2 linked regions of the Drosophila melanogaster genome follow. The protein of the gene in region 1 purifies or fractionates together with the protein of each later gene. This does not show direct contact. Each region holds a gene or a part of one and is shown on either strand. Other genes may lie near its edges.

Region 1 (7,548 bases):
CCATGTTGAGCCTGCAACAAGACGTAATCATCAAGGATGAGATACAGATCTCTCCGTCGCCCTCGCCCACCCCGCCCGCTTCCTGCGCTGTGGCGGAGGGCAAGTCCTTGGCTTTGGCCTCTACCGCACAAACCGCAACGTAAAGACTTTGAAGGACCAGAGTTACGGAAGGACTACGAACGCACAACAACGTTTACCTTAAGCAGCGAGCTCTGAACTGTAGAATACATCATAGCAACATAAGCAATCGTGGCACTCAAACGCAACACACCAGACTCAAAACGATTTTTAGTTAATGTAAACCCGTAAGCAATATTAATTCTAACACTTGCTCCGTCCAGAACGCCTTTTTTAAGCAACACTAGTATTTAATTTACCTAGGACATAAGTTTTGCCCAATTGAGCAACGCAATTGAGCAGTTCAGTGAACTTTAATGACTTTCGGCTTTAATTATAAACAATTCGACTGGCCGCTTACTGGATCCGCACACGATCCGTAAGGCAAGCAACTTTAGAACTTTTCATTTCTCTTTGTGATTTTGTTAAACCTTTTTATATAGACCTTTGTTTTTTATTTTTTGTTGTACATAGCTATATTTTGTTTAATACTCAAAGTCCGTAGTATAATTTTGTTCATTTCCTTGGCAACAAGTTGGAATCAAATGTATTGGCTAATTGTGCAATCTTCAAAACGTGTTGGTGGCTTCGGAGGAACGCGACAACGCTGTTCTGCGGCCCCACGAAATGTTGTAAACTTAATTAACTACTAAGGCCACTTAACTAGGATCTAGGTGTAGTCATAAGGCATTGGATCAATGTTCCAGCGTACAACAAAACGGACTTCCAGTGAAGAGACAACTGATATTTATACGGAATCCCAATCTGGTATTATGTATTATGATTTTTACAGTTTACTTAACGCAACAAATACGACTTAAGACTTGTGCGCTCAATGACTAGAAATTATAGTTGCGATTTTAGGATAACTATTCATGGAAAAACCACAAACGAGTTTTTAATAAAGAAAATTTTACTGATTAATTATTTTTAAAAGCGTTTGAAACATATTTCATTAATTCTGATAAAATCACAAATCGATACACTTAAAAACCCCCACAGCCAATCACAATAATTGAATAATGAACGTGTACATATTTTATTCCTTAAAGTTTTATTCGATTGGTGTAGCTTCATCCGTTTACTGATTATTTGCTCTTCGGTACCAGAAACGTGCCCGAAAGTCGTCGGAGCAGGTGAGGAAAGCAGGACCATTGGGCGAATGCGTAATATAGCGGACAGGTCCGTTGTGTCCAAGCGAGTTAAGGGTCAGGCGGCAGCCGTTACGGGAGTTCCACGAGCAAAGCGAAGTGGTGGCCTCGTCGGGGAAAAGCACGTAATCCTCTGTGTGGTTGAATACAGCCTCTGTCTGGTGCTCCTGCTTGCCGGTGGTTCCAGCGCCCGTGTACGTCTGAATGGGACGACTGGTACACAGCTCCCACAGATAAACCAGTGAATCCATACCGGAAGATAGGAGGTACTAAAATGAATAAGTTAAAATCTTGCACAGCCACTACCCATAGTGTCCCATTACCTTTCCATTCCGCGTAAACTCCAGTGAGCATATTGCCGCTCCGCCATGCGCCTCGGCAATGGTGTTGATGCACCGCCCGCTGATCCCATCCCATATTTTGATGTCACCATCATAGCTGCCTGTGGCGTAGAGTTTCCCCGTGGGCGAATATTTCACGCAAGTAACTCCAGCCTTGTGCTGCTGCGAGGGAATGGCACTCACGAAGCATTGGGTGGTGGCCACATCGTAGACCCGCAAGACGTTATGTTCCGTTCCGATGGCTACGTAGTCACCAGTAGGATGAAAAGACAGGCACAGCACCGGCTCGCAGTCGGTGAACACCTTGTGGGCCTTCTTTACCGAAGGCTTGGCAATGTCAAACAACTTAACAGTGCCATCGCGCGAGGCGGAGGCCAGGATGTGCTCCTTGGGATGGAACTCCAGGTAAGACACTTCATCAGTGTGATCATAGAGCGTGCGAATCACTGGATGGCCTTGTTGTTCCCTGCCCGGCTCGATATCTTCGGGCGCAGACTTCGCCAGCATCCGCTCCACGTCCAGAATCTTGATGCTGGCATCCACGCTCCCGGTGGCCACCAGGGAACCATCGCAACTGAAGGCGCCGGCGCGACAGGCCTGCTTGTGCGAGGTCACATACGCGGTTTCGTAGGAATGTGGTTCCGGGGCCAAGGCCGAAGCCTCCGGCTCGAATTCCAAGTCTATGCCGGGCAGCACATCATCCGAGTTGGTTTTGTCCTTGTCGCTCAGCGTCTGCATCCCTGCAATCATTACGTGCAGCAGGCGTTCACTGGGAGCGCACTGGTCCGCCTTCACCAGCATGGACAGCTCCATGGCGAACTTCTCCAGGCCGTCGTACATCAGCTGGCTGATCATCAGTCGGTAGAGTATCTCCCGGTTCTTCACTAGGTTACTGGGGTCCAAAATCTCATCACGCATGGTGGCTTAATTTATATTTTGTTTCCTACGGATATAAACAAAATCTTGTAGATAACGCCGTGCCGTTATCGTTATCGAAAACATTTATCTTGCCGGTATGTCATCTCTAGCTATGCGGTATTGAAATACTGAAATCAGGGTTTCGGTATTTTACGGTCCACGGTCACTCCTAACAGCTGCAACACGTGCGGTTTTAAAATTGTTTTGGTCCCCTCAATTGATTTTAAACATTGTTTGATTCATTAATTAAACCTCTCAACAATGAAGATCCGCAAGAATCATGCTCGCAAGCGTTATCGCTACAATGTAAACCGCAAGACGATGAATAAAACCCGGAGTTCCACCGGAAAAATTAAGGAGTAAGTTGGATCTTGGTGCACTTACAGCCAATAGAGTCAACAAGTTTACGAAAACCTTCTGTTATGATCTTACCAGTCCCAGGATGAAAAAGATGTGGATGGAGGACCAGCGTGTGGGCACCAACTTCAGTGAAATGGGGTTGGCCAAGGACGTCAACAAGGCCATTGCGATTCCCAGCTACAAGAAGGACCGCCTCCTAGCGGCCCGAGTTGTGAATGGGTTTCTGGAGGAGGAGCTGGACGAGGATGAGCGGCGTGTATTGGGCCTCAAGAAACCAGTCGTAGAGGAGGGTCCAAAACGTGGACACGTAGTCCAGGAACTAGAACAACTGGCTAGCGAGCGAGCCGACCCAGAGTTCAGGTAAAATATTGATTCTGCAATGGAAAACTGTCAAAATACAGGTTTTGTATTTGCACAGATTACCCAAGGGCGTGGTCAAGGAACTGTCCTACTTTCTTAACAAACATAAGTTTAACTACAAGGCGATGGTTGCCGATCGGAAAAACTTTGGCCAGTGGACGTGGCGGCAGTTCCGCTTGAAGATTCGCAGATTTATGTCGATTCCGGAGCAGTTTAACGTTTACCTGGAGCAGAAGAAGTTGCCCGTGGGCGTGAAACCGGACTGGGAGGAATACGAGTCGGACAGTGAATGGAAATAATGGCTCTTGACCAATGTACATTATAGTCGTTTTCGGGTTCTAATGCTATTAATTGTAATGTTTAGACTTACTTTAATTCTTTTAATACAATAAAATAGGCAAGTAAAGACGAACGCAAAAGGTCTACGTATTAAAGCATTACTGTTAATTACATTACATTACTATTAACAGTATTTTTTCAAATTCCTTTCTAACATTTTTGTTCTGTCAAATTTTCTATTGTTCTGTCGTACGACAGGACGAGAGAGAGAGAAAGGAAGGAGCTTGCGTCTTATTTCAACGCATAAGCGAATAGTGTGCACAATGTCTTTTGCAATTAGTGGTGAATGTGCATACTTTTAGTGACAGTCCGTGAAAGTACTATATTATTTTATCTGCAAAAGACTCAGTTTAAGAGAATATAAAATATTCCATGAATGGTAGTAAAATTGTATTACTATTTTTATTTTGGTACGTTTTATACTTAAGGGATGGAAACTTTATTTAAGTCAAGAAATCCGCATAATGCAATAGGAAACCCAAGGCCCTTGTCATACATGGAATCCTGTGCCATCTCTAGGTCGGAATCAGTTCAGCTCCGTTCACCTCAGCATCGTTGCTTTTTCGGTCTTTCCGTTTTGTGATTTCGAGGTAAGTGCACGCAGAGCTCCCGTTAAATTGTGAAAATATTAATAGGCATTGATTAGTTGTGGAAATGTAAAAAGGGAAAGTCCCAGAATTCCCTACCCTGCATTATTAGGCGAATTTCGGTTCGATTTTCCAACCTAAAGAAAGTTCTAAAGTAAAGAAAGTTCCGAAAAGTGAGAGAGTGTAAGTGATTTGCGCTGCCGGCCGGTCTTCTCATTCCTTTTGCATAATAGCTGTGTAAATCGATTCGAATTGGAAATTGGTTTTCCAGCGACCTTAAATTGCAAGTAAATTAATAAAGTTGCATAGACTTTCGAATTCCAACATGGCGACCGGCTGCATGTGTGTGCGCGTTCGATTTTGCCTGGATTGTACCCGTTTCTCCTTCCCGTTCTCAAGCCGTTTATTCCCGAGTAGTTTCTATTGGAATTCGCAGGCAAAAAAAAAATATCCGCGGCATGATGACACATGGTTAGCAGATTATTTTCCTGCCCTGCATCTCTGACGAAGTATTTTTGCATATTCTTTCCCCCTTCATTCCCATTGCTTCTTCCAATTTGCACTTCGATGCAAATACAAAGATTTAAAAATAACATGCAGGAAAATCGGCAAGTGAAACTGTCACTGGGGTAGAAAATAAATCACAACGCCCTGCAGTTCTCGCCGTCTCTTTCCCTTCCTTCTCTGCATGACCAGCAAGTGCACTGCGCCCGTTCGCCGTCCCTTTCTCTCCCGCTCTCTCCATCTCCCTCTACAGTTTTTCACCCTTTGGAATCGCGGAATTTTCGCCGCACGACCGCCACCGAATGCCGATGCTTTTGGCCATTTCCCTTTGAATTTTCTTCCACCGTGCTGCGAAAGCTGCCAAATTTCGGCATTTCGACATTTGGCTTTAATTGAAATCCGTTTGGGTGTGCGATTTTCATTGGTTTTCCCACTAAAAACGCCGGCCGGCACATTTTCGCCATGCACTGCCGCACTTCCCGGCTTTCCGACGAGGGTTTCTCTTCGGCTTAATCCTCTCCAGCCGAGGAGAGTGCATTTTCCCAGTACGCACACTTCGGCTCCATTCGTTTCTGTCTGGGGCTCGTTATTGATTTTTCGCCCGGTGCACTTCGGCAGAGGATATACACGGCAGTCTTTAACCAACAGACACTTGGCCCGGTCGTGGTCCGGCTGCAGAGTACGGAAGATCCGCATAGAGTTTAAAAACTGCCATTTTTATGACAACGATTTCCTTCTAATTCTAGGATATAGCGTCGCGTGGGTTTGTGATCAGTTTCTAAGTGCGCAGCGTTGCCGAGTAATAAGAAACTCTAGAAAGTCTCGTGAAAACAGGTGAGTTTTTCTGCTTGTAAATTCTTGCTGCATACATTTGTGGGCAAAAATATTATGGGAATATGGGTGTATTTCTCAATCGTACACATTAGTGTCCATAAGAGTCCGTAAAAACATACATGTGTATTTATATTTTTCCTATTATTCAGTATAAGGCTTAATTTGAACTAATTGGTAAACTTTTCGCGTGATTTTCGTGTTTACTCTTGAATTGTTTAAAATTCGTATTTTCGAAATATAAAAGTTCAATGGTTTTCCCTGGTGTACGTTTGTGCCTGTCCGTATGAAGTGTGCTTTTGGTGTCTACACCACGATGACACGACCCACAGCATACAGACGTCACTCGTCTGCACCACCCATTAAGTTCAGACCCACATTGGCATGCTACCTCCCCGAGTACGGAAACCACCCACTTTGCTCATCCGAATACCTGCATCCCTTCTGTCTCCCAGCAGCTCTAAAAAATAGCTTAATCTGCAAGGATGGGCAAGGAGAAGATCCATATTAACATTGTGGTCATTGGCCATGTGGACTCCGGCAAGTCGACGACCACCGGCCACTTGATCTACAAATGCGGCGGCATCGACAAGCGTACGATTGAGAAGTTCGAGAAGGAGGCCCAGGAAATGGGAAAAGGCTCCTTTAAGTACGCCTGGGTACTGGACAAGCTGAAGGCAGAGCGGGAGCGGGGCATCACCATCGACATTGCCCTATGGAAGTTCGAGACGTCCAAGTACTATGTGACCATCATCGATGCCCCTGGTCACAGGGATTTCATCAAGAACATGATTACCGGTACCTCTCAGGCCGATTGTGCGGTGCTGATCGTCGCCGCCGGAACTGGAGAGTTCGAGGCCGGGATCTCGAAGAACGGCCAGACCCGCGAGCACGCCCTTCTGGCATTCACGCTGGGCGTGAAGCAGCTTATTGTGGGCGTCAACAAGATGGACTCCACTGAGCCGCCGTACAGCGAGGCCCGCTACGAGGAGATCAAGAAGGAGGTGTCCTCGTACATCAAGAAGATCGGCTACAATCCGGCCTCGGTGGCCTTCGTGCCCATCTCCGGATGGCACGGCGACAATATGCTGGAGCCGTCCGAGAAGATGCCCTGGTTCAAGGGATGGTCCGTGGAGCGCAAGGAAGGCAAGGCAGAGGGCAAGTGCTTGATCGACGCGCTGGACGCGATCCTTCCACCCCAGCGTCCCACCGACAAGCCGCTGCGCCTGCCGCTCCAGGACGTCTACAAGATCGGAGGCATCGGAACCGTACCAGTAGGTCGTGTGGAGACTGGTCTCCTCAAGCCAGGTAAGGCTCCGGGTTGATGAGGTCGGGTGTGGGCCCTCTTTTCTCTTTGGGCACTTCATACATGTATTCTGCAAAATTTGGGTCGACAGTGGGCTGGCATCCAACAGCCACCGCCTCCAAAGCGGAGCCCGCAACGAAGTCTTGCGCATGTATGCATTATTGAGCGAACGTCTTCGTCGAGAGCGAGACCCTCCACCTCATGCACTTGGTGAAATTCTCACTCCGAAGAGCTTCCATTTTCAACATGAAAGTGAAAGGCCATTAAAATAAAATAACCCTAGCTAACATATTAATATATGTAGAGCTATTGATTCAAATAAAAATAAATTGGAGTTAGTTCGAATAATATCGCTCCACGTTTCTCTCTCTGTATGCACCCACCCCCATCCAAATGTCTACACATAACGTCCGGATATGTAACTTCGTTTCGGTCGCTTCGTTTCCGGTTTCGTTTCAGGCATGGTCGTCAACTTTGCGCCGGTCAACCTGGTCACCGAAGTAAAGTCTGTGGAGATGCACCACGAGGCTCTCACCGAAGCCATGCCCGGCGACAACGTTGGCTTCAACGTGAAGAACGTGTCCGTGAAGGAGCTCCGTCGTGGCTATGTGGCCGGCGATTCCAAGAACAATCCTCCTAGGGGAGCAGCCGACTTTACCGCTCAGGTAGGGTAACAAAGATGAGAAATCTTTGATAGTTGAACTCATCTTTGTTTGGTTTTTTTTTTTCTTTTT
Region 2 (7,548 bases), on another chromosome or scaffold:
TGGTATTTGATTTATTGATCAATGGAGTGTAACAAAAGCGTTCCAGGCGTTCCTGTCTTTCCGCAATATAATCCATTGATATTGTTTGTTTTGTCGATTTTAACAATTGCTGTCCTGCAGGTGATGATATTGGGATAAACGAACACCTACTAAACGAATGAACTGTTCGATTTCTCCGCGATGGTAAACGCCTCTTTCTGTTTGATGTTTCCGTTGATGTTTCTTCGCTGAATGAATATGTTTTCTGTTTCTCTTTAGATAAACTATTATCGGAGAATTTGGGTTGCAGTTTAAAGTTTAAGAGAAAGGCGTTGCGCTGTTCGATATCTTCGTTTTTCCCATCACTTTTGTTATCTGGCTCAGGGGAATCACAAAGTATAACGTCATCCTCCATGCAACAAATGTTTTCGTGTTCCTGTTATGCAATAGAGTTATTAACTATTAACTTTGACAATCTTTGGCAATCAACTTACGAGTATAGCTTCTTTAGAATAAAGTTCGGCATCACAGTTGTCACATAGGTAGATATCAAAAGGTGGTGGCTCAACCATCATATGCTGTACGTTTTCGCTAATGGAACTGTTGTTCTTTTGCAGCAACAAGCACTTTCTGTTCTTTTGTTGTCTATCATATGACTGCAAAATAACCAATTCAGAATTAACTAATTTTAAAACCCAATTATTCAAAGTAGGCTTGGCTTACCATGTTTTCATTTCGAAATGTAACCAACAGTTTGTTGTTTCTCCTGTCATACAATGAAGTTGTTGAGTTATAATTGTTTATGAATCTTAAGCTCGCGTGTTCATACGCAGCTAAATCATTACAAAATCTTAATAGAAATAAGCTTTTGTGAAATTGATAGCATATAACCACAATTTCTTTCATTTTTTCCATCCAATTCTGTAAAATAGATACAGGTATATATTAGCCATTTATGGGGGTGAATGTTAAATATAAGCCATAGAAATCAAAAGGTAAGGGAAAAAAGCTTACCCCAACAAATGCTTTCGGCTTTTTGAGCGGAATCTCGAAAGGAGCGCTTTCGGGCCACCATTCTGGTTCACTGCAATCTATTTTCTTTGGTAAGTTTATGTGTCCTAAAGAGCATTGCACCATGAAGGGAATAAAATTTTCTAACTGGGACTCCGTAATTTTTTCTAGGGATGTTGGATATCCGTTCGCAAACAAAAGTGGTAGGTTGGATATCATGTTGTGTTGAGCTTTATCTTTTTCATCCATTGTCACTGCAAGTGAATTAAAATGTTATATTTTATTGCCATGTTATCGATAGTTTTCCAAGATAACCGATTAAAACGATTACATATGTATAACATATCTACTTAAAAATTTAAAACTACTAAACTTTCCTAAAACCAAACCAAACAAACGATTTCAAATATTTATTAGCAGTTGTGATAAGTAAGGGGCGCAGTATATGGATCTAGCTGTGTCCGTATGTCTGTCCGTCCTCATGAACGTCGAGATCAATAGAGAATACTGAGGGTGATGAGTAAACTCAATTAGGTACCGTGTAATAGTTGTTCTATAGTCCTTGAAAAGTATATAATGATCATCTGCCTGTCCGTCCTGATGAAGGCCAGTTACTCGTAAAAATATGAAACTAACAAGTCTTTACAGCCTTGATCCGGATTACTAGCCATGTCGATACAGCCATAACTGACTGTAAGTCCGTATTTGTTCGTATAATCGTAAAGCCCTCAGGTACTATTAAAGCTACCCTGGAATTGAATTGCCACGTACATTGTGACACCTAGGGATCAAGGTCTAGAATACATAACTGTTTACGTCCTTTTTGTTCTAGAAATCTCTAGTTTAGTGACCGCAAACATTACTTTTTTGCAGGACCATTTTATGAACGGTCACATTAAAAAATGGCGAGTGATAACCACAAAATGGCGAAGATACAGACTGTCAAGTCCGTGGGGACAATCGATAAAGGTATCGATGATTTTTTTTTGCAAAATTACAATCCTTGAAATGTACCTTTATTAGGTACTATATATCGTATACACATTGTACCAATAAAGTACAGCAATATGATTAAACTTTTTTTTTTATAAAATACTTGTTTTGCCAAAGGCGTTGCCACTTTGGTTTAGAACCAAAGCTAGTGGTTACGCCTAGCGATTTCATGAAATTGACATGAAGTGGAATGTTCCCACTTACAGGTTTGTGCGATATCGCTTCGCGAATGCTAACTATGCAGTTTATACGAGTTATATATTCTTGTGGCGAGCCACGACCAGCGTTTCACTTTTGCAAAAGGGGCAGCTCATAAACCTTGCGTCTAACTGCAGATTTCCTTACTGAAAAACCACGAATTGCTCTCATATGTGTACATGCACACACACGCACACACACACGAAAAACACACATATGTATTCCAAGGGAAGTGGAATAAGTTTGCAAATAAAATTTTTACTGCATAACTTGGGACATTTTTATACGTAAACACACTCACACAAGCACTTCTAGATAATTATACATAAACACAAATATTCATATGTTAAATGGAGTCATCACAATTATGCTGTGGTATAAATATCCCACCTGATTTAGACGAGTGTATGTAATACACTCAACGAAAATTACTATGTTCAGCATCATTTGAAATATAATTTGAATAGTACACACTTATACGTTAAACTGGTTGATAACGAACATTTCGACACCGATTTTGTATGGCAATACATTAAACTCAGTGCTCTGGAATGCTCAGTGCTCTCTGCATATACATATCACTGAGTGAATCCATTAGAAAGGAGTCTCAAAAACCGATCAAAATAGAATCACCATCAGTACGCACCAAGAATTCGCAATGATTAACAAAACGGTAGACACCGAGATCTACAATCACAAATATGATAACATAGTTACAGTACACAACACTTTCTTCGTAAAAAAACCATTTGTTGTAGTTGCTATCGAATAGTCGAAGTGAGAACTGACTGCTAAATGGCTGAAATAATTGTGACAAATACTACCCAGTCTTCAAATTGAAACGCGGAAATGGAACAAAATGTGATGTTGCACTTTTACTTTGCTCTTAAAAAAGTTTTTTACTGTAAATAAAATACATGTACTGGAATTTTTGTGTAAAATCGACATCGAATTAATTCGATTCCATCAAACACAGCTGACGCAAACATCTGTTAATCTCTTATACAAAGTAAAGGAGAGTTGTATACCTTTAAAAAACTTTAAAACATTTTTTTTATTATGGTATCTTTTTCTAGCTTTTTAGTAGCACACAAGGACGAGGTCCGTGATATAAAAATTTTGTTAAAGAGAAGAAGAAGCATTAAATAGTTAAGTGGAAGATAATATATAAAAAAAGTATCCCTCTGTATCCCTCTTTCATCAAACCTCTTCACGCAACGACGACAATTGTGGTGAACATTTCGTTGCAACCCATCACAAGCAATAAATCAACTGATGACAAGTATACACACATGTTGATCCGCAGGCCTGTGCAAAAGTTCGTCAAACATCGATGAGGTGCCACGTGGAACTTACATTTTGCTACGTTGAGATCAAACTTTTTTTTTATTTCTTTCCGGGCACTAATAAGTGTTTCAATTTATGGACGTTTTGTAAAAATTGCAATAAATTTGTTTATTTACTCGCACATCAAAAAGCAGTTCGTATGAGAATGAGAACGTGTTAAAAATTTGGTTGAAATAAAAATGTCGTGTTTCATTTCCATCGTTTCAGTAGCAATAAAAAACGAATCCGATGGCGTAGATATCGATATACCTGCATTCCCTTTCAAACGTGTTATCGTATTGTTCAGCCAATTGTGCAACGTGTTTGAGTAAATCTGCGGGCGAAAGACTAAAAATGAAAGTAGAGGCATTGGACAAATTCTGGGCTGACAAGAGCCGCTACGATCTTGCCGAGAAGCGATTCTACGAGGGTCCCCAGAAGGTAAAATCTCTAAGCAATCACAGCCATAAGTACTTAAGTTGTTAGCCAGTTTCACGTGGCCGGTAAATCAGTTCAAATGGTTTCGGCAATGTTTATTGCAAATCTGTTTGTTTTAACAGCAAGGACGCCGAAACACACATGTTCTAAACTTCAATACATACGTAGAATGATCTATTAAAAGATTTCTATATTTATCTGCCTTTGATTTTCAATTGCTGTGTTCATATTGCACATTACATTGGTATATTCTTGTAGCTGTATGTAACAGGTGAACGTTTAACACTTTTAAAAAATATAACTATGTGCGTAAAGTGTATACAAAACAGAGTGTGAGAGAAAACTAACTCTGGCAAGCCAAATTTTGAATACACTTTCCGTTTGGCAATTGGTATAAATACAAAATATAGTATGCAAAACATAAGTACTTAACATGACACCTACACAACAAAATTCGTTTATTCAATGGAAATGTGCCAAAAACAAATCGATGTATACAAAGTTAAAACCTATTGAAATTCAGGGAAATACTATAGTTAAGTAAAGGTTTAAACACGTTGTATTCTATCTACACAAATATACTACACAAAATGCATAGCACTGCATTGTATAATATTTAAACTACGTACAATTTTTGGGCTGATTAGAGTGAGGCTTATCAGTATTTCAGCATGCTTGCATGACAACAGACTTGAAGTAGATGCCCGTACATAAAACATCTCATTTTGCTTAAAAATTATTATCCCTAGAATCCTTTGTCAACCATTCGATACACCAAATGTCAGTTCACACAAGTAATCAATGGTGTTGTCTTATTTTTAAAGGTAACTGATCGCAGCCACTACAGCCCATTAGTAAGCGAAATCGCAAAGGCTAGGGAACACATACAGAACTCGCTGGAAAAGGTAACTATTGTGATAAATCTTTGTATTTCAACATTTGATTTGTTCACATTCCTAGGTTTCTTTCGGTTTCTTTAAAACTTTGTAGAGAATTGTATAATTATTATTTACAATATATTTAGTCTGTACTTATGATCAACATATCCCAATGAGGACTTGAATTTGAATTATTAATCAAGCCTTTTGTGTGTGTTCCAGATCGATGGCGTTACTCTGGACGATGGCTTAAATTCCGAGCTGGCCAAGCGTCTGGCCCAATTGGAGGGTGAACACAAGGAGTTGAAGACCCAGGTTTCCTTGTTGAACGAACTTTTGACTGCCACAGTGAAGCGCTTGGAAACTCAGCTGAAATTGACGAATGGAGTGTCGAAAGAGCCCGAGGTCGAAGCGAAAAAACCAGAAGCGAACGACGACGATGACGATGTGGATCTATTTGGATCGGACAGCGAGGAGGAGGATGGAGAGGCCGCCCGCATAAGGGAGGAAAGGCTGGCAGCCTATGCTGCCAAGAAGGCCAAGAAAGTTCAAATTATTGCCAAGTCGAACATCATTCTGGATGTTAAGCCGTGGGACGATGAGACCGATCTGAAGGTTATGGAGACGGAAATCCGCAAAATCACCCAGGACGGTCTACTGTGGGGAGCTTCCAAATTCGTGCCAGTTGCCTTTGGCATTCAGAAACTGAGCATTTCATGCGTGGTTGAGGATGATAAGGTTTCCATCGATTGGCTGACTGAGGAGATCGAGAAACTGGAAGACTTTGTCCAAAGTGTTGACATCGCTGCGTTCAACAAAATCTAAGGGGTAACATATAATTTTTCAATTCACGATCGGATTTGCCGCATTACAAATGTGTTTGGGAGTCGTCTAAATAAATATTTTGATAAAAACCAACTTAAAAAACTGCATTTAAACTGGGAGTAATTGGTAAATAGTTTACTTTAGGATATTTTTTATGCAAACGATATGTTTTGAATTCGCTAAAAGGCCATATTATTTCAAAATTTATAAGAAAAGAAGATATATATTAGTTTAAGTCATGTATTCGCCATTCTTTGATTAATTAAATTCATTTACGCACGAGTATAAAAACAATGCAAATTACCTATTAAATAAATATTCCAGGTCACAGCTAAATTATGCACATATTAATAATGATTAAACTGAGGGACTAGTTTCATAAGGCTCTACAAATTATAAATAGTTAATCATAAGTTATTTAACCATCCTAAAGCATAACTTCGTTTTCGGGTCTCGTCGACGTTTGGCGCTTAAACTCACAGCTGCCAGGAGAATGTCGAAGAGTGGTCATCGCGGTGCTGGTTGGAGCATAGGATTTGGTCACGCCAGCGCGGGTTCTAGTCGATGCAGTGCTCGGATTTGATTGCAGACCTTAAAGATTAAATAAATACAAATTACATGTAGTATATTCAACTAACTGCCAGTTAATTGATGCCACTGAAACTTACCAAACTTAAACATAATTTCGTTATAAATTCTGCGCTTAAACACAAATATAATGAAGACAAAGATTCCAAGTAGCACATTAAACGAATCGCTGATGGTCCAAAAGAACGTTTTCTTGTGATCATAAAACAAAATGCTAACTATTTCCAACAGCCATGTGATGCCCATTACGAAACACAGTTTCGTGTTCATAACGAATCTGGTTTTGTCCTGAAAGAATCGCCTTTTCAAAACTGGCTTGTCGCTGTTCAAGCTCTGCATTTTGTATATTTCATTTTTTACTTTGTTGCAATACTTCATTGTGAGCACGAATAGAACTAAGTTTATAATGAAAAGTATGCCAACTGGACCCGAAAAGAACAATAAGCTGGCTGAACCAAAAGAATCATCTGGAATTAATACAAAAATATACAAATACTTTAATATTTAAATCGTAATTTAATTAGATTTTTAACTTACACGTAAACCAGCAACGACCATGTCCAAAATTTGGACGCACCGCATCCGGTAAAATGTCAGATTTCGTAAAAGCTATGGTTATTCCAGTTAGCAATGTTGGTAGCCCCCAGCCATAACACGAATACCAAATAAACTGCCTTCTCAGGTCGCTCTTTTCGCAGCTTTTAAGCTTTGTTGATCTACAATTAAATAAGTGTAAATTATTGCAAGTTTATCTAAATTTCAAAAGCATTTGTACTTACCCAAATGTTTTCCATATGTCAAAGGAAGTAATGTTCATCCAAGAAAAGGCAGCCATTAAACAGAAGTACACGAAAAAACCTTCAAGATACAAAACAGAAACAGTTTGTTTAGGTTTTAGTTACCAAATTGCACAAGAGAATGAGACAAAATACCCTTAAACAATTAAGTACTTGACGAGTATAACTATGAATGTAATAATAAAAGTGATTGCTATCGATTTCCCGCTTTTATGGTATAATAACTTGTAGGTCTCCTCGTCCCAGCAGGATTAGCAACTAATTACCTAATGGCTGCAATACCCACCAGAAAGAAAACAGATGTCGTCATTCGATGTGGGTCGCAATTGGCCCAGCGCGATTCCAAGATATGCCGCAAACAAGCTGCTAACGAGGCAAATTAGGATTTTGCCGGGCAGGTTTCTCAATTTGGCAATTGAAATGTAGACAATCAGTGTGAGTGCATAGAAGCAGCAGGATATGAGCAGGCCAATGGGATACATCTTGAAGCGAATCCTGTCGCCGGTCACCACCTT

The links.
Region 2: the proteins of eEF1alpha2 (region 1) and eEF1delta purify together in Drosophila melanogaster (affinity purification with mass spectrometry, with the first as the bait; one large-scale study listed by BioGRID). This does not show direct contact.

The regions. Positions count from the first base shown.
Region 1 is NT_033777.3:31,734,354-31,741,901, forward strand, and holds the start of eEF1alpha2 (eukaryotic translation elongation factor 1 alpha 2), read left to right. Parts: upstream 1-4,114; 5' UTR 4,115-4,176; intron 4,177-5,306; exon of another isoform or gene 5,307-5,356; intron 5,357-5,423; 5' UTR 5,424-5,511; intron 5,512-5,963; exon of another isoform or gene 5,964-5,966; 5' UTR 5,967-5,993; coding exon 5,994-6,816; intron 6,817-7,273; coding exon 7,274-7,479; intron 7,480-7,548. Other genes in the region: ttk (tramtrack), read left to right, coding at 1-143; CstF50 (cleavage stimulation factor 50 kD subunit), read right to left, coding at 1,199-1,537, 1,592-2,527; CG11563 (uncharacterized protein), read left to right, coding at 2,789-2,886, 2,963-3,247, 3,306-3,546.
Region 2 is NT_033779.5:10,228,712-10,236,259, forward strand, and holds eEF1delta (eukaryotic translation elongation factor 1 delta), read left to right. Parts: upstream 1-3,795; 5' UTR 3,796-3,861; coding exon 3,862-3,948; intron 3,949-4,769; coding exon 4,770-4,850; intron 4,851-5,045; coding exon 5,046-5,648; 3' UTR 5,649-5,739; downstream 5,740-7,548. Other genes in the region: ova (ovaries absent), read right to left, coding at 1-415, 474-635, 703-900, 994-1,239; mthl15 (methuselah-like 15), read right to left, coding at 6,076-6,239, 6,317-6,703, 6,774-6,952, 7,016-7,094, 7,320-7,548. UniProt on the Drosophila melanogaster protein: EF-1-beta and EF-1-delta stimulate the exchange of GDP bound to EF-1-alpha to GTP.